4 linked regions of the Rattus norvegicus genome follow. The protein of the gene in region 3 purifies or fractionates together with the protein of the main gene of each other region. This does not show direct contact. Links are inferred from orthologs where the notes say so. Each region holds a gene or a part of one and is shown on either strand. Other genes may lie near its edges.

Region 1 (4,640 bases), on a different chromosome or scaffold from region 3:
CACTTTCTAGGAGTCTGGTGAGGATGTGCACACACCACTTCATGCAAAACAAAAAATCTATTGCCTTTTTTCCCAGGTCCTTTGGCACCTCCATTTCCTCCACTGGGAAAGGAAGAGTGGCTCATGTCTCCTGTTCATTTCCCAAGATTATGAGTCCTGAATAATCTTGATACTGGTGTGAAGGAGTAAACAGCCCATAGCATGCTCAAGGGCCCTCCCCTTTTTCCCTCTGTTTGTCACATCTGGTAGCTCTTGAAAAACATTAGAAGTAGCACTTCTCAACCTCCTTAAACTAGTTTCATTAGAGCAGAAAGCTAAGAGCTCCCAAAACTCACATAACTTCCCAAAACTTACACAACTTTCCAAAACAAATTGAGTTCTCCTGAGAACTGAGCCAAGGACAGAGGGAACAAAAACGTTATCTACTGTCCAGATCTGTCTTAGTCAGGGTTTCTATTCCTGCACAAACATCATGACCAAGAAGTTGGGGAGGAAAGGGTTTATTCAGCTTACACTTCCACATTGCTGTTCCTCACCAAAGGAAGTCAGGACTGGAACTCCCACGGGGCAGGAAGCAGGAGCTGATGCAGAGGCCGTGGAGGGATGTTACTCACTGGCTTGCTTCCCCTGGCTTGCTCAGCTTGCTCTCTTATAGAACCCAAGACCACCAGCCCAGGGACAGCACCACCCACAATGGGCTGGGTCCTCCCCACTGGATCACTAATTGAGACAATGCCTTACAACTGGGTCTCATGGAGGCATTTCCTCAACTGAAGGTCGTTTCTCTGTGATAACTTCAGCTTGTGTCAAGTTGACACACAAAACCAGCCGGTACAAGATGTCTAACTGCATTTCTGAAGTAATGCTGACAAATTAGGGAGAATGTTGATGTTTGGAGGCTTTGACTCAGTAGTTTTCTCTGAGCTTTTAGTTGTTCAGTGATGGAAGTTCTGCCTAGTGGACTTAAAGGGCATAATGGATGGCTCTGGGCAACAGACGACTGTGCAGGGGTCAGCTCAGTAGTGACCAAGGGAAGTCTTCTGTCCTCAGCATTACCCCAGCAGCAGGCCACATGGCAGTGAGAGGCAGAGAAGCCCGTTGTTGGTGTAGCAGGAAGAACCTGTGGGACACTTGGTGTTAATAGCCTCTCTGGGGCTGAGTTATACAGAAGCACACCTTATTTTGCTGGTCATGTGCAGAACTGAGACATGACAATAGATTGGTGAAGCTGTGAAGCTAAGGGTAGCTCAATCTGACTTAGCAGTTCTAAGGCTTATTATCTTAGATGCTACATCATCAGTTCTGGGGAGGTAGAAGCAGAACAATCTCTGCTTGAGGCCAGCTTGGTCTAATAGCAAAGTACCAAGCCTACATAGTGAGACCCTGTCTCAGAAAAACTAAAAGGAAAAAGAAATGTCATGTAGATTGATTAAAACCTTTAATTTCGGGGCTGGAGAATTGGCTCAGTGGTTAAGAGCACTGACTGCTCTTCCCGAGGTCGTGAGTTCAATTCCCAGCAACCACATGATGGCTCACAACCATCTGTAATGGGATCTAATGCCCTCTTCTGGTGTGTCTGAAGACAGATATAGTGTACTTGTGTACATTAAATAAATAAATATTAAAAAAAAACACCTTTAATTTCAAAAGTCTTTCCAGCAATTTGATTTTTCTTTTGGCTACAAAAGCTGTAGTATATTGTGAACAGAAGTTCAGGAAAAGTCTGTTTTATTGTTCAAAGGACAGACACCTGACCATAAATTCAACAAGCCTTTAACTACCAGTGCCAGCTGACCTCATTGTCTAAACCAGATGGAGTCCCTGGGCTTGTGTTCGGATTCTGGCTCTGAAGACGGCTGGGGTGGAGGGTCTGCTGTTGCCTTTGCTAGTTCAGTGCGCTCCTGGCTTGCGCACCTGTGGTCTGGGCCTCCAATCTAGTTGTGTAAGTGGTAAAGGCTCAGCAAGGAGCGTGAGTGTGCGAGAATACCGGAGTTAGGCATCCCTGAGGGGAACTTACAAGATCCCTCCAGTTGTATAGGCTATTTCTCTTCTCTTCTTAACTTCCTTTCCATAAGAGCCAGCTCTATTGCTGGTCTCCACCTTTGCAGAACTGACCGCTACCTCCTTCCTCAGGTGTGATTCAAGACTTATTGGGTCTATTCAAGACCTGTGCTTTTACCCAGGCATGGTGTCACATGCCACCACCATCATTATCATTATTATTATTAAATTATTGGGATGAATACCTTTAATCCAAGCATTTGGTAGGCAGAGATAAGTGAGTCTCTGTGAGTTCGAAGCCAAATTGGTCTACGTAGTGAGTTTGAAGCTAGCCCAAGCTATACAGTCTCAGAAAAGAAGTCATGTCCTTTTCCCTGAGCTGTCCCGTTCTTCAGACCTGAAGTTTCCAGAGGAGTCCGTTATTAGAAAGTTGAGGTTAAAAGGTTTTAAGTCTTTAAGTAACCACCAAGCTCACTAGCTTTTCTTTTCATGGATGGTGGACATACTGTAAAGTCAGCCTACCTTTCTTAGAAAAGGATCCAGTCCAAAAGCTGGCATGGTCTTCACTACCTCTGTGAAAATAATGAACCTGTTGTTCATTAGCCTGGCCTCTTACCCCTCAGGTTCCCAGTCCTAAGAAAAGGTTATGGCTATGTTAGAAGGACCTCAGAAGCTAAGTGTGGCTTATCCTGGCACGAGGGAGGCCACGGCAGGAGGATTACAACTTGATTTCTGCCTTCTGTCAGAGCACCTTGGCTGGAAAAAGGAAGTTTGCTTCTCCCTGGCCTGAATAAAAGGGCAGTGGTAATCTTCACACAGTGTGGCTGGGTTAAACATACCCTTGCCAGTATGGAGGGCAGTGGACAGGTAGATGGCTTATTGCTGACACACTGGAATAGTTTATGTTCATCATTGACTCTTGTGTCCCTGTATATATGTGGACAGATGGCCTACTGCCAGCACATTGGTGTGGAGTTCATGTTCATTAACGATTTGGAGCAATGCCAGTGGATCCGGCAGAAGTTTGAGACCCCTGGGATCATGCAGTTCACCAATGAGGAGAAGCGGACCCTGCTGGCCAGGCTTGTACGGTCCACCAGGTAAAGCATGTGGTCGGGCCATGGGCTCCCAGGCCCACTTATGGGGTGTTGGTCGCCTGTCCTCCAGGCATGGGAATGGCTGTATCGACAAGTATGTGATAGGTTTGGCCAGGCGAATAAAGTTGGCCTCCATTGTACCCTCTTGTCATTGGAGAATGCTTATACTGAGGCTGGGCCTGTAGGCATCGCTCTTCAAGTTGACTGATTCTCCATCCAGGTTTGAGGAGTTCCTGCAGCGAAAGTGGTCCTCTGAGAAGCGTTTTGGTCTGGAAGGCTGTGAGGTGCTGATCCCTGCCCTCAAGACAATCATTGACATGTCAAGTGCAAATGGAGTGGACTATGTGATCATGGGGATGCCACACAGGTACTTCAGACCCTTAGAGCCTGGAAGGGACAGAAGGCCCTGTTGCTCCTGCATGGAGTGGCAGCTAGAGATCTGAGAATGCCTGAGTGTATTAGGATGTGTTGCTTTCCAAGGCCCTTACACTCCCACGTCGGGATGACTACAAAGTCAGTCTCAGAGCCAAATATAATTACACTTGTATTTCATTCTATAGGAGTTTTGTTAAAATTAAATCCAGGTGGGCATGGTAGTATGTGCCTATAATCTCAGTTCTTGAGAGGCTAGGGCAGGAAAATCACAAATTTGAAGTCCATGTTGGGCTACAGTAAGTTCTAAACTAGCTTTTACTACAGAATAAAAGTATGTCTCATAAGTAAACCCAGTGCCATTGCTGCTGTCTCACTTGTAACAATGACTGCTCTCTGAGATCTGGGAGAGACGGGGAGCTGGGCTCGTAGTTCTGTACTTTCTGCCTTTCTCTTGTCTGTGTGCTATGGCTCTGCATGCCCAACAGCCAGAGAGTTGGTGTCCACATCAACTTTGAATCACAACATTCTTGGGCTATAAACCAAGGAGATGCTGCTGTGTCCTGGGTAGGGGCAGGGTGGAGCAGCTTTCCCCTGGAACTTACTCAGTGTTCCCTGTGTCCCAGAGGACGACTGAACGTGCTAGCCAATGTCATCAGGAAGGAGCTGGAGCAGATATTCTGTCAGTTTGACTCGAAGCTGGAGGCAGCTGATGAGGTGAGCTTCTGTGAGGAGGAATGTCCGCTACAGTCGTCTCAGCCTGCTTGAGACTCCCAGGTTTCTCAGAATGTCTTAATTGAAGCTTTGCTCTTACACACCATTTACAGTTTGCCTTCCTTATCAGAATTGGCCAACCTCCTCTACCGTGAAGCCTTATATTCCTCCTGCTGGGGCAACAATATTCCTTCTGCCCAAGTAACTCTATATTTGTGCATGGGAGGTATAATATTGGGGAGAGCCTCCCCATCCTTCCACAGTTAGGTCCTAGGAGTCAAAGTCCCATGGGTACTGCCATTGAGAATGAACCTCTCCAACCAATATCACTTGTCTTTTTATTTTCTGTTTGTCCTGGCTGTCTTGGAACATGTAGACCAGGCTGACCTCAAACTCAAAGATCCATCTGTCTCTGCCTCCCAAGCACTGGGCCTAAAGGCGTGTGCACCACTGCCT
Region 2 (4,640 bases), about 57 Mb from region 3:
TGCAACCAGCTCGAGAACCACAGTTTAAAGCAAATTAAAATGTTTTAACATGTTTAAATGAAAATGTACACATATATGTGACACACTGCTAATCATCTTCTATTTTAACATAACATGTTCAAGAAATACTCTTTTTGTTTTGTTTTTCAAGACAGGGTTTCTCTGTGTAGCTCTGGCTGTCCTGGAACTCTCGGTAGACCAAGTTGGTCTCAAACTCACAGAGATCCACCTGACTCTGCCTCCCGAATGCTGGATCAATGGTGTGCACTGCTACCACCAGGCAAAAGGAATACTCTTAACCATTCGAAATTTTAAAAAAGGGGGAGGAGGGCTGGAGAGATGGCTCAGCAGTTAACACTGACAACCAGCTGTTGACACCAGATGGATCCGATGGCCTCTTCTGGTGTGTCTGAAGATAGCTATAGTGTACTCAGATACATAAAATAAATAATTCTTAAAAGAATGTTTATTGTAGGGGCTGGGGATTTAGCTCAGTGGTAGAGCGCTTACCTAGGAAGCGCAAGGCCCTGGGTTCAGTCCCCAGCTCCGAAAAAAAGAACCAAAAAAAAAAAAAAAAAAAAAAAAGAATATTTTAAATAAATCAATTAAATAATTATTATTAACTATGTATCAGTGTGTATCTATATGAGGGTCTGCGCATTCAGGTACCTGGAGAGGCTCACTGGAACCCGTGGTGCTGGAGTTTTATTCAGTCAATTATGAGATGCCAGATGGCACCAGGAAGTGAACCTGGTCCTCTGAAAGAGCAGTGTCTACTATGAACCACTGAGCCATCTCTCCAGCCTTTGAACTCTTTAATCTTAAATGAGCATTTCATAAAAATGTTATTTTGGGGTCCAGAAAGATGGCTCAGGGGCCCATAGTACATATTGCTCCCACAGGAACCTGAGTTCAGTTCCCAGCATGCATAATGACAGATTCCTTCTTCCTGGCTACTTTACGTTCTTCCCCCTTTCTTTGAACTTACTCTTGCCCTGACCAACCTCAATGGTCAATCTACCATCTTTCTGCTTGACTATTTTAATAGTAAAATGCTCTAACTACGAAAAATCTTCAGTTACAAGTCAGAAAAGCAGATTTTCTAATCTCTAATATTGACTATAAAGTCGAGTACAGACATCTTCCAAAGAGAAATGTCAATTTTCCTAAGAAGTTACATGTGAGAAGAAACTACACGGAAAGGAGAGGATTCAGTGGTAGAGACACAGGATACCAAGTCTGACAACCTGAGTTCAAGCCCTAGTGCCTACATGACAGGAAGAGAAACTGACTGTCCAGTTATCCACTGATCTCCACATGCATGCCTTTGTATACACTCCCCCCCCCCACACACACAGACACACACACAGAGACACACAGAAACACACAGAGACACAGATACACACACACACACACACACACACACACACAGACACACACACAAATGTAACTGTTAAAAAAGGAAACTACTCAATTGTCCACAACACACACCATAAAATTGTAATTCTCACTTTTCAACAGTGGCTCTCAAGCCTGACTGCATGTCAGAATCACTTAGGGGAATGCTACAAAACTAACAAGGATCCAACTGTTATAGTGAGGAGATAAATCACAACTCTCAGGAGCTAAGCCTTTTCATTTGTATTTTTTTTTCTTTTTTCCTGGAGCTGGGAACTGAACCCAGGGCCTTGCGCTCGAGCGCTCTACCACTGAGCTAAATCCCCAACCCCCATTTGTATTTTTTTAAAGCTTCATGTGATCCAGGTCGATGGGAGGAAAATTTCTCTCTTCAGATTCCTGACTTCTGTTAGTTCTTTAAGAAAAAGATCTAATCTAAGAAATAGGAGAAGAACAGAGTATTGTGGGTTTTTCAATTACCCTGTTGGCTTAGAACTTGACAATTAAAAGTTCACCATACATGTCAACGGGATTTCTCCTATCCCTCAACTAAAGGTGTAACTAGGACACCAGTCTGAGGCAAGGGGAGTTGCTAGGACAGTATGCTCAGCCTCAACCCCACCAGGAAACACTGGAGACCTTGACCACCAGAAAAACTTCTTTACCACCGGTTTTCCTGAGTGTGAATAGAGGAGTTCCTCCTTCAACTTTGCCCCCATCGGGTACCAAAAGAGCTTCAATGATGCCATTTGCTGGTGATGGAACCTGCACAGAAGTCTGGAAAAGAAAGAGACAGAGACGGATTCACATTTGTATCAGCATCAGTCAAGCAGGATGAGCAGTGGGAGTTCCAGCTCCCTTACACCTGGATATCACTTCTCCACACACAGAAACACCTAAGGCCACATTTATAAGGCCACATTTCAGTCAGAAAAGAGAGTCATTGCTATGAGAGGGTTCACCTTCTGTCCTTTCTTAGAAATGCTAACACATACTTTAGTTACTATGCTTCCAAGTGATACAAGGAAGAAGACGGAAAGCAGCCCAGGAACCACAAAGAAAACAAAGTAGCTGCCGATTAAAGTTACTAGTGTGCATACTAAGTACCAAGGGAATAATTAAAATTAGGCTGTAGTAAGTCTTTAGGATAAGCCCACCTTGTCTGTCTCAATCTCACACACCACTTCATCTTCTGCAACTGCATCTCCAACAGCTGAAAGACAGTCAAAGGACACCTGTTAGCCAGGAGCCTCTGGTCCCCTTTGAGCCCACTGTGTTAAAAGATCGCTTTCCTACAAGACTGGGAGGAAGTAGATACGTGTGTAAAGAAATGGTGGAGCCACAGTTTCCACTTGTTGTGGTTCATGAGGAGACCTTCGTTTTTTAACTTAAATGAGAGGAAATAAAATCTTACCTTTCTCCCACCTGACATCTCCCTCTGTGACAGACTCTGCAAACGCTGGGGTCTGGACTGTAATCACATCATTCTCTAGGGAAAAACAAAACAGGAAAACCATAAGTGCCCATTCTGTCTTTTTAATGGTTTTCTTTGATAAACTCAGTCAATTGTTTCTCTTTCCAGTAAAAGTCCATTCACAAGAAATCAGGTACTTAACTGCACACTGCCGTGGTTTGGAAGAAGCGAACACTGAAGACGCTACTGTTGTTAATGCTACAAAAGAAACATAAATGTTAACTCTTTTAGATCATGAACCACTAATATTTCAGTCTACTCCAGGTACAAGGGTTACCTCTTTAAACTGGTGAATCTTAAGCAGACTCTCACGCAGGGCATCTTGTCAAAGCACACAGGTCAGGGCAGACCTGGACACATTCTAACTCAGAAGTAGGACCAAAGCATGGTGACCTAGGTGCCTTAAACAGTGCTCAGTACTATAGTGAAATGTCACCTCTCAAGAGTGAGACACGGCGGTTCTACTAAGTAAAAAGAATCTTGGTCCTTTGCAAACTAAACCAAATGATGTTTCTTCCTGATTAGGTTTCTTTAACCAAAACCTCAGCACCACACAGATATGCCAAATACAAATGTGTTACTATCCTCAGGACTAAATTTAGATAAGGCAGCAAAATGACAGTAAACTCAGATGCAAAAAGCAGAGTTTTAGGCCATCCCCCCCCCCCCAAAATTAAAAACAGCAACGAAAACCAAAACAAAGCAAAGCAGAACAAAAACCAAAAAGAGCCAGCTACGTGGTATTTCCTATAACATTCCCTTGTAAAAGGCAGCATATCTGCCCTCCCTGGACTCGCTGCAAAGGAACTTCAAAACCAGGCCGTTAGAACCTGGGACAGTATAAGCTGGAAGCCAGTAACGATCGCCTGTGTGCAGACTTATTAAGTTGCTTCTGGGGAGTGAAGATATTGATCCACCCGGTTACTAAGGCTGTCTGTCATTCAGTGGTTATTTATACTATTTAGGGAATGAGTTAAACTGATGAAAATGTGCTTCTTACACAGGATTTAGGGGATCTCAACAGGTTTTATTTGTTTTGTTTTTCGAGACTAAGTACCACTACGTAGCCCTGGCTGTCCTGGAACTCAATCTGTAGATTAGACTGGCCTCAAACTCAGAGATCTGCGCTGCCTCTACCTCCCCAGTGCTGGGATTAAAGGCATGAGGCATTATACCTCACTAGAATGTCTTTACACTACATAAGTAGACTCAATTGCCTTTTGGCCTTTTTTCTTTTATGTCAGGATAACTTTAAAATGTATATGTGTAGTATCAAGGGGAACAATACAAAAATATAGAACACAGAATGCTGTGTATAAAGTTTGTATACACTATTAGAATGTAATAAAAACATATGTCCATGGGCAAAGACTAATGCTAATGTGGAAAAGAAGGGGTTGTTCTGACAGACGCCTAGGAAGCTGGTGTTGGCTCTGTCTTGGAGGAGGTGTTCAATGTGTAGAAGACAAGGATAAAATATTTACTGCTGGGCAGTGGTGGCTCATGCTTTGAGTTCTAGCACTCAGGAGGCAGAGGCCAGCGGATCTCTGAGTTTGAGGCCAGCCTGATCTACAGAGCAAGCTCCAGGACAGCCTGGACTACAGGGAGAAATCCTATTTGGAAAACAAAAAACAAAAGTCATAGCCTTTCTGTGCCTTTTGAAACATGAAATTACCTATTAAGTAAATAAGTTTCACACTAAAAGATCTCTGAAGCAGGTGAGATGGCGTGGTGGATAAGGTCTGCCAAGCCTGATGGCCTGAGCTTG
Region 3 (4,640 bases):
TTAACAAATTACAGTACCAGAAGTTCGCTTGAATTTAGAGAAGATGATGGAGCAGAAGCGTTCTGCAGTAAAAGCATTAACAGGGGGAATTGCCCACTTATTCAAACAAAATAAGGTTGGTGTTCAGTGCTCAGATTTCTGTTTTATTTTACATATACATGAAATAGTTGTTTTGTGCTAATAGCCATATTTTATGATCTTGGCCTGCTGTGGGATATTGACTTAATTTAAAATAGTACTAAAACATTTAAAAAGTAATGTAATGCATTTATTATTATACAAACCCTACAAAGAGTAAAAGCCAAAAGAAAATCCAAAATAACACTACCCTGAGAAACAGATGTCCCTGAGATAGTATTTTGACTGCTACATGCATTGTATATTTTAAAGGAAACATTTCATGTTCTGTGTTACCTAGAGTATTGTTCCTGTTACTCTTATCAGAAAAACATTTAAACATTGTGAATTTGTAAATATTGCTTTATAAAGGTTGTTCATGTCAATGGATTTGGAAAGATAACTGGCAAGAATCAGGTTACAGCTACAACGGCCGATGGCAGCACTCAGGTTATTGGTACCAAAAACATCCTTATAGCTACGGGCTCAGAAGTTACTCCTTTTCCCGGAATCACGGTATTTATGCTTTCTAATTCATCTCTTACAACCTTCCTTATAAAACAGGGTTTTATAAATTTATCCTGTTTATCAATGTTGACTAAAACACTAATTTGGCAGCCATTTATCATTGCAGTTATTTCTCATTATTTTGCAGTGATTATGATAAGATATAGAACACTTTATAATATATTTGAGTTCACATTAAGGTAAGCTAGGCACGGTGGTGAGTGTCTGTAATCCCAGGATTTGGGAAGCAGAAGCAGGAAGTTTGTTATACGGTCAGTGGTTAACAGGTTTGGAGCCAGGACTGCACAGGAAGACTGTCTCAGAAAAAGCTGGTGAGAGCCGGGCTGATAAAGTACTTGCTGTCCACCTGTGTGAGCACTGGGCATGGTGGGATGGACCTGTACTCCTAGCACAGCTGCTGAAGGATGGCTAAGGTTGACTTTGTGCTTCCACACATGTAAACACATATACACACTTACACAACAACAGTAAAACACAACATAACACAGAGTTAAAATTAACCATTTTAATTTGGAAGGTCGAATGGTAAAATTTCAGAGTAGCATTTTGAGTGAGAGCTAAAGAAATTGTGATATATCTATAGATAACATTAAGCAAATAAATGACATAAAATTTTATTGGATAAGACCAAAATAATAACACACTAGGTTTCCACAAGTAATTCTGATTGTTGTTTTTTCTTTTTTTATAGATTGATGAAGACACTATAGTGTCGTCTACGGGAGCTTTATCCTTAAAAAAAGTTCCAGAGAAGTTGGTTGTTATTGGTGCAGGAGTAATCGGTGTGGAATTGGTTAAGTGTGATCTTCCTTTTATTGCTGCTGTGGGGTTGAAAGGGACTTAAAACTCTTCTTGGAGGCCAGAAAGATAGCTCAATGGTTAGCAGCAGTACTGTTTTATCAGGGGACTCAGGTTCAGTTCCCAGCACCCATATCAAACTTCTCCGAATCACCTGAGCCCCAGGAGCTCGCCACCTGTACCCACATACCCGTCACATACCCACATGCTGCAAAGAAGTAAAGAGAATCTCTCTTTGAAAAAAGAGACAAGATTGAGACAGTTTCAGGTAGTATGTAAAAAGGAGAGATAGCTCAGTGCCTAAGAGTACTGGCTGCTCTTGCAGAGGACCAGGTAAAGTTCCCAGCACCCACAGTGATTTTCAACGCTCCATAGCTCCAGTTCTAGGGAGTCTGTACCCTCTTCTGGCTCTGAGGACACCAGGCATGTACATGGTGCCCAGACTCCATCAGACGAACACCCATCTATATAAAATAGAAATAAGTCTTAAAGCAAAAAAAAATTAAAATAAAAATTGGTCTTAAAGCAAAACAAAACAAAAACCCTACTTGTATTACATGATTTTTTTGTGTAACATTTCAGGTCAGTCAGTATTGAGTTCTGCTTAAGTCTTACAGCAATAACAAATACATCTTTTCTTCCAACATAACATATTTAGGTAAATCATTAGTCTTTAGTATGCCCTTTGTTTTATAGTCTGCTACAAGGTTCTTGTTAAAGTCACAGCCCTCGTCATGAACCTCAGCCTGGCTGAAGACCTTTATTTCCCTAGCTGAGTACTGGTCTCTTCCAGGGCTGCTTAACTCCCCACTCACATTCTACCTGACTGGTACGGTGTCTCTCCTCTCCTCACGTGGAGCTTCCTGAGGAACAAGCAGGAGAAAGCATGGACTGGACAGGACTCCCTTGCCTCGTGCTCATGCTTCAGATTTGAAAGTACCTTTGCCTCACAAGTCTTCTTTTGTTCTCCCTGCTATGGGGAGAATATCATTTTCCCTAAGAGTAATGTCTTCACCTACTGTCACTTTATAGCATGTTCGTCTGCCATCACAGTGACTTAGTTCTGTGATGTTTGTTTCTTTTCTTTAAACTCATCTGCTTTCTACCTGCTGTTCTCCCACTCCCTTTTTTTGAGAGAAGGTCTCATACAGCCCTGACTGGCTTAGGACTGGCTATGTAGATTAGATTGGCCTTGAACTTGCAGCAGTCCTCCTGCCTCTGCCACCTAAGCTCCTGTTTATTTTCCTTGTGATTTATAGTTGAACATGCCTGTTTATACCTCGGTGTCTCACATGTTCAGGTGCATTTCCTTACAGACACATGCTTATATTTATGTCAGTAAGCCTTGTGTGAGCCTTTTCCAAGTTACTAATTTCCTTCTTTCTTTTTTCCATCTTATGCTGGATTTACATATACCTTCTGAGTTACCTTTTTTTTTTAAATTGCATATTCAGATTTCTTTCTTTTATTGAGAATTTCTTACACGCTATTATTTTTATAACATCCACCCTCCATTCTTTCCACTCCAGATTTTCCCCTCTCCCTCCTACCACTTTCCCCTGTCACCTTCATATGTTCTCTCTTTTAACTCAGAGTCCATTTAGTGCTGTGTGCATGTGCATGGGGGTAGTGCTATTTACTGGAGCATGGGTAGTTTTTTTGGTACTCTATTCCTGAAGAAAATTTACCTCCCCAGCACATCAATTGCTAGTACCTTCTCATCTAGAGGTGGGACTTTCTTTTTTTTTTTTTTTTTTTTGGTTCTTTTTTTCGGAGCTGGGGACCGAACCCAGGGCCTTGCGCTTCCTAGGTAAGCGCTCTACCACTGAGCTAAATCCCCAGCCCCGAGGTGGGACTTTCTTAGTCCCTCCCTGTCCTTGCTAAGATATTGGTGGTCTTAATCTTGTACAGATCTTACACACGCAGTCACAGCCACTATAGGTTCCTAGTGTGCGGTAGCCCTGTCGTGCCCAGCAAATACTGTCTGTCTGCTGCCTGTGGCTCTTACAGTCTTCCTGCCCCAGTTTCTGCAGTGACTCCTGAGCCCTGGGGAAGGGACATGCTATAGATTAAGAGTTGGGTACTCCATAGCCTCTCATGTTTTCTGAATACTGACCTTTTGTGTTTCTGTATTAGTTACTGTCTACTGCACAAAGAGGCTTCTGGGATGAAGCCAGTGCAAGATCAACATCATACTTCTTTAATCTTAGGACCCTTGTACTTCTCCTCTGCCTTAGACACTCTCGTCTCAGTCACTGCTGTAGTTGGTTTTCTTCACTCCCACGTAAATGTTACTTAGACGGAAGCCTGCAATCATGCTATCTCAGATGGCCCTGGATCTGTTTTCTCCTCTTTCTTATAGCATTTTGTTATCTTCCAGCATGAAGTTTATATATTGTTGACTTCCTCTACCATATTGTAAAGTTTCCAGGGACACACAATTTTGTTTAATAACAGGCCTAATGGTTATAGTGGGCCTGGTTATAGTAGGTAAATGTGGAATAGATGAATGAATAATAGATAATCTTAAATGAGTTTCCTTTTAAACACTAGAGCTTCCCCTAAACATTTGCAAAAGAAGACAATGTTTGAGGTAATTAGTGAATGTTGCTATGGAAACTTAATGTTTTTTTTTCTTAAAAATTAATTTTAGGGTTCAGTTTGGCAAAGACTTGGTGCAGATGTGACAGCGGTTGAATTTTTGGGTCATGTGGGTGGAATTGGAATCGACATGGAGATATCTAAAAATTTTCAACGTATTCTTCAAAAGCAAGGATTTAAGTTTAAGCTGAATACAAAAGTTACTGGTGCCACCAAGAAGTCAGATGGAAAAATTGATGTGTCGTAAGTATGATGCGTTTGTTTTTGGCAAGCCATCCTTGCTTTCAGATTAGCAAATGTAGTCTAGACTTTTTATAACTTAGAGTCATCTTAATGCTGTGTATTACACAGTATTGCCTATCAAATTAGCCAGTTAAAATTTGTGAATTAGTTGATGCTAAAAAAAAAAAAATCTTACCAGATAGTCTCATTGTGATATATATTTTTCATTGTATATATTCATAAAATTTGAAGCCCCTTGCATTTAGAACAATTCATTTAGCATTTTTGTACAGACCATGGGGACTTTGATGATAGTTTACTTTAATTAATAATAAGTATCTGGCATTCATTAAGTATTTACCTAATTAACAAAG
Region 4 (4,583 bases), on a different chromosome or scaffold from region 3:
ACAGAGAAAACTTTTTCAAAAAAACAAAAACAAAAACAAACAAACAAACAAAAAAACAGAGAGAGAGACAGACAGACAGACAGACAGACAGACAGACAAACCCCAAGCCGTGCTGTCCGGATGTCAGAGGAGTGGATTGCTTGGTTGTTTACCACTCTTCCTTGTTCTGTTTAGTCTTTTTAACATCGACTTTTCCATTTGACAGGCTGGGCTGCGGCCCATCTGTGAATTTATGACCTTCAATTTCTCTATGCAAGCTATTGACCAGGTCATAAACTCAGCTGCCAAGACGTACTATATGTCTGCTGGCCTCCAGCCGGTGCCCATAGTGTTCAGGGGGCCCAACGGCGCCTCAGCGGGCGTGGCTGCTCAGCACTCGCAATGCTTCGCTGCGTGGTATGGGCACTGCCCCGGTTTGAAAGTGGTCAGCCCCTGGAATTCCGAGGATGCGAAAGGACTTATTAAATCGGCCATTCGTGATGATAATCCAGGTAACTCCTGCTTCTCTTGAACAGTGAAAGAGCTGACATGAACCATACAAGGAACCATCGAGGCCATCTAGTGAGGCTTAGATATAGCATATGTATAACGTATAAATGATTTATAGACACAAAGATAGTCAAAAATGTAGGGCCAGTTCTTTACTGCATACCTGCACATTTGGCTTAACCTCTACCGACCAGACTGTGTATAAACCATCCTGATGCTTCTAGGTGAGACAGAAACCAGGCTTCTTATTCATAAGATGAGTGGTTTTGTGGTATGTGCATTCATAGTCATTCTGCCTGTACTTTGTTGTTTGAGAGCTTATACTGTCTTGCAGTGGTGATGCTAGAGAATGAACTGATGTATGGAGTTGCATTTGAACTTCCCACAGAAGCTCAATCAAAAGATTTCCTGATTCCTATTGGAAAAGCCAAAATTGAAAGGCAAGGTAAGGACACCTTGGTATTCATGAATTGTTTTTACTGTAGCCCTTTTGTTTGCAAAGGTTAGAAGTTACTGCTATGGAGTTTGACTTGAAAAGTAAAGAATGAATGAGCTCATTGAGTCTCTCTGGTAGGTTTGATTTCATGTCCATGAACACAGCCTCACTGTGCAGCTCACTGAAGTAAGCTGCACGATTGATAAGACTAGCTGTGGCTCCTTACAGCATCGCTAATCTGTGACTGCTTTATTTCAGGGACCCACATCACTGTAGTTGCCCATTCAAGACCAGTGGGCCACTGCCTAGAAGCTGCAGCTGTATTGTCTAAGGAGGGAATTGAATGTGAGGTAAGTGGACTTTCACTGCCCCAACCCCTCACAAATCAGAAAGTCTCCTTTAAGATCCAAGACTGATGAGTTGGCTTAGCAGGTAAAATTGCTGACAATCTTAGGTTTGATTCCCAAGAGCCATAGAGAGAACCAACTCCTGAAAGTTGTCGTCTGCCATCTCCCCCACTTATGCCACCGCATGCTTTCTTTTAAGATTTATTTTCTTACTATGTGTACAGCATGCAGGCCGGAACAGACACAGATCTCACTGTAGGTGGTTATGAGTCACCATGTGGTTGCTGGGATTTGAACTCAGGACCTCTGGAAGAGCAGCCAGTGCTTTTAACCACTGAGCCACCTCTCCAGCCTTTGAATTCTTTGTTTTTTCAAGACAAGATTTCTCTGTGTAGTCCTGGCTGTCTTAGAACTGGGGCTGACTTTGAACTCGAGGTCCACCTGCCTGAGTACTGGGATTAAAGGCATGTGTCGCCACACCCAGCTACAGTGCATGCTTCTGTATGCTACTACACACTCACTGCACTATGTCCAGAAGCTATGAATGGTGATTCATGCCTGTAATCCCAAGACTCAGAAGATAAGTAGAATCATGGTTGCCAGGCCACCTTGAGCTTTGTCATCAGTCTGTCTCTGCTTTCAGCCAAAAGTGGTGGTTGTTTAACCACATAAACTCTGGATCTTTTAAATCCCTACTCTCTCAAGTTATGATCTAATCTTGTTAGGCTGGGGAAATGGCTCATCCAGTAAAGGCTTGCTCTGTAAGCATGAAGACCTGAGTTGGAGCCCTAGCACCCACATAAAAACCAAACCAGAACAAACAAGTCAGGTATGGCAGCATGGGCTTACTACCCAGCACTGGGGAGACCGAGCTAGGAGGACCCCTTGGGCAGTGAGACCAAACTGGAGGGCATCTCTTCTGATTATCTAATCTGTACAACTTAAGTAGCTTTCCTTGGAAAGTATCACTGCTTCATAGGCTGTAGAAATGTGGTAACAGGGATTCTCCTCCATCCTGGGGTATCTGGGTGTAGACCTGGTGCATATTAAGCACTCAACTATATATTGTGATAAGAGGGATATTGAAACCAAGGAGGATAAGTGAATCCTCTAGGTGAGCAAAGCTTCCTGTGATTGGTTGCAAGCTTCTGTTTTAATTGTAAATTCCCCTTTTACTTTTGTTTGAGACAAGATCTCACTGTGTAGCCAACACTGTCCATACTCACACTTGGGGCCATCCTGCCTTAGCCTCCTAAGCAGTGAGCTTACAGGTATGCGGTCGTCATACCTGTACATTTGTGTGCCTTTGACAGATACATTCAAATTTTCTTAGATCCAAAGATTAACAGAAACAAAACGTGGTGTTTTTGGGTCAAGGCTGTATTTGTCTCCTAGATTGTATAAAGACTATTTCCAGCCTTGTCTTTAGGTAATAAATCTGCGGACCATCAGACCAATGGACATTGAAGCTATAGAAGCCAGTGTCATGAAGACAAATCATCTCGTAACTGTGGAAGGAGGCTGGCCACAATTTGGAGTAGGAGCTGAGATTTGTGCGAGAATTATGGAAGGTATTTCAAAGAACCTGGTTTTAGAACATAATCAAGCTATAGTGAGCACTCAACACTTGAATACCAATGAGAAAGAGATCAAAAGCTAGAGATGACCAAGTGACTTTTCAACTTGTCAGTCTAGGGTTTCGTCTTTGGGTAAATGTTTTAAAAAGTCAGGCCAAAAGTGAGCCCTATAACTAGGATACATTACCTTGTTTTCTCTTGCTGAGTCCCCAGTCTGCTTCTCTCTTCCCTAGGCCCTGCATTCAACTTCCTTGATGCGCCTGCTGTTCGAGTCACTGGTGCTGATGTCCCTATGCCTTACGCAAAGATTCTAGAAGACAACTCCATACCTCAGGTCAAAGACATCATATTTGCAATAAAGAAGACTTTGAATATCTAATCTAGACGTTGAATGTCAAGTCAGTGAAATTTATTTAAAATACGTGTTGGGACTTCCCCTGACGTGTACTGGGAGACTTACTAGTCAGGAGTTAATGCTGATGTGGCAGCAGGTGTCTCTGTACTGGTAAGAAGTTTAAATGTGCTTATGAGTAGAATTTTTCTACTCCCTACCCTAGATGCTCTGCTCTCTTTGTCTGTTACTGTTAAGTTGGTCTAGTCTTTGAATAAGATTAATATAAAAATTTGCCCTCTTTCATTAGAAGGGGCAAGATAGAATGCCCCCATGGAAGATAACTTATATGTCTAAATAAAACATATATTATCTACATTTGCTGTTAAACTGTTTTGATAAGGAATAAAGGGGATTCCTACCTATGAGTAATTGCGTTTTTATGTTCATATAGTGTATGTGAACTATTAAGAAATTAGTATCAGGGGCTGGAGAGATGGCTTGGAGGTTAAGAGCACTGACTGCTCTTCCAGAGATCCTGAGTTCAAATCCCAGCAACACATGGTGGCTCACAACCATCTGTAATGAGATCTGATGTCTTCTGGTGTGTCTGAAGACAGCTACAGTGTACTATAAATAAATAAATAAATAAATACATAATAAATAAATCTTTAAAAAAAAAAAGAAATTAGTATCAGGCTGGGTGGTGGTGGCATGTGCCTTTAGTGCCAGCACTTGGGAGTGAGCCACAGGAGGCAGAGGCAGGTAGATAGATTTCTGAGTTCAAGGCCAACCTGGAGTACATTGTGAGTTCCAGGACAGCCAGGGCTACCCTGAGAAACCCTACCTTGAAAAACTACATACATACATACATACATACGTGTCAAATAACTAATATGCTGCATATCATATCTGTAGATTCTGTAGTTTTTTAGAGGATTTCACTGTGTCTTTGGCTAGCCCAGAACTCAGGATCTCACAGATCCCCCTGCCTCTGCCTTTAGAGAGCTGGCATTAAAGGTGTGTGAGGCCCCACCTTGTCCAAATTGAAGCCTTTTACTTCCAGGGCCATGGGCATGTCAGCCAGGGCCCTACTACTGAACATCATCCCTAGACTCTGACTGTTGCATTTATTTATGTCTCTAACATCGCTCAAACAGCAGAGCTGAAAGCAAAAGCTCTCAGGCCCAGGTTCCCACCAGCGACTGTCACTGGTCCACACTGCACCTAATAGCCCAGGTTCCCACCAGCGACTGCCACTGGTCCACACTGCACCTAATAGCCCAGGTTCCCACCAGCAACTGTCATTGGTCCACACTGCACCTAATAGTCCAGGTTCCCACCAGCGACTGTCATTGGTCCACACTGCACCTAATAGCCCAGGTTCCCACAAGCGACTGCCA

The links.
Region 1: the proteins of Dld (region 3) and Ogdh purify together in Homo sapiens (affinity purification with mass spectrometry; 3 studies listed by BioGRID and IntAct, counting the BioPlex papers as one, with this or other methods). This does not show direct contact. The link is inferred for Rattus norvegicus from reciprocal best matches to the Homo sapiens genes DLD and OGDH.
Region 2: the proteins of Dld (region 3) and Dlst purify together in Homo sapiens (affinity purification with mass spectrometry; 3 studies listed by BioGRID and IntAct, counting the BioPlex papers as one, with this or other methods). This does not show direct contact. The link is inferred for Rattus norvegicus from reciprocal best matches to the Homo sapiens genes DLD and DLST.
Region 4: the proteins of Dld (region 3) and Pdhb purify together in Homo sapiens (affinity purification with mass spectrometry; 3 studies listed by BioGRID and IntAct, counting the BioPlex papers as one, with this or other methods). This does not show direct contact. The link is inferred for Rattus norvegicus from reciprocal best matches to the Homo sapiens genes DLD and PDHB.

The regions. Positions count from the first base shown.
Region 1 is NC_086032.1:85,404,866-85,409,505, forward strand, and holds part of Ogdh (2-oxoglutarate dehydrogenase complex component E1 precursor), read left to right. Parts: intron 1-2,946; coding exon 2,947-3,101; intron 3,102-3,318; coding exon 3,319-3,465; intron 3,466-4,096; coding exon 4,097-4,187; intron 4,188-4,640. UniProt on the Homo sapiens protein: 2-oxoglutarate dehydrogenase (E1o) component of the 2-oxoglutarate dehydrogenase complex (OGDHC). Participates in the first step, rate limiting for the overall conversion of 2-oxoglutarate to succinyl-CoA and CO(2) catalyzed by the whole OGDHC.
Region 2 is NC_086024.1:110,495,541-110,500,180, reverse strand, and holds part of Dlst (dihydrolipoyllysine-residue succinyltransferase component of 2-oxoglutarate dehydrogenase complex, mitochondrial), read right to left. Parts: intron 3,071-4,640; coding exon 3,015-3,070; intron 2,888-3,014; coding exon 2,813-2,887; intron 2,612-2,812; coding exon 2,556-2,611; intron 2,176-2,555; coding exon 2,064-2,175; intron 1-2,063. UniProt on the Homo sapiens protein: Dihydrolipoamide succinyltransferase (E2) component of the 2-oxoglutarate dehydrogenase complex. The 2-oxoglutarate dehydrogenase complex catalyzes the overall conversion of 2-oxoglutarate to succinyl-CoA and CO(2).
Region 3 is NC_086024.1:53,638,223-53,642,862, reverse strand, and holds part of Dld (dihydrolipoyl dehydrogenase, mitochondrial precursor), read left to right. Parts: intron 1-14; coding exon 15-115; intron 116-489; coding exon 490-633; intron 634-1,336; coding exon 1,337-1,438; intron 1,439-1,539; exon of another isoform or gene 1,540-3,171; intron 3,172-3,292; exon of another isoform or gene 3,293-4,096; coding exon 4,097-4,287; intron 4,288-4,640. UniProt on the Homo sapiens protein: Lipoamide dehydrogenase is a component of the glycine cleavage system as well as an E3 component of three alpha-ketoacid dehydrogenase complexes (pyruvate-, alpha-ketoglutarate-, and branched-chain amino acid-dehydrogenase complex).
Region 4 is NC_086033.1:19,185,124-19,189,706, forward strand, and holds the end of Pdhb (pyruvate dehydrogenase E1 component subunit beta, mitochondrial precursor), read left to right. Parts: intron 1-205; coding exon 206-491; intron 492-823; coding exon 824-934; intron 935-1,183; coding exon 1,184-1,275; intron 1,276-2,701; coding exon 2,702-2,843; intron 2,844-3,082; coding exon 3,083-3,228; 3' UTR 3,229-3,608; downstream 3,609-4,583. UniProt on the Homo sapiens protein: The pyruvate dehydrogenase complex catalyzes the overall conversion of pyruvate to acetyl-CoA and CO(2), and thereby links the glycolytic pathway to the tricarboxylic cycle.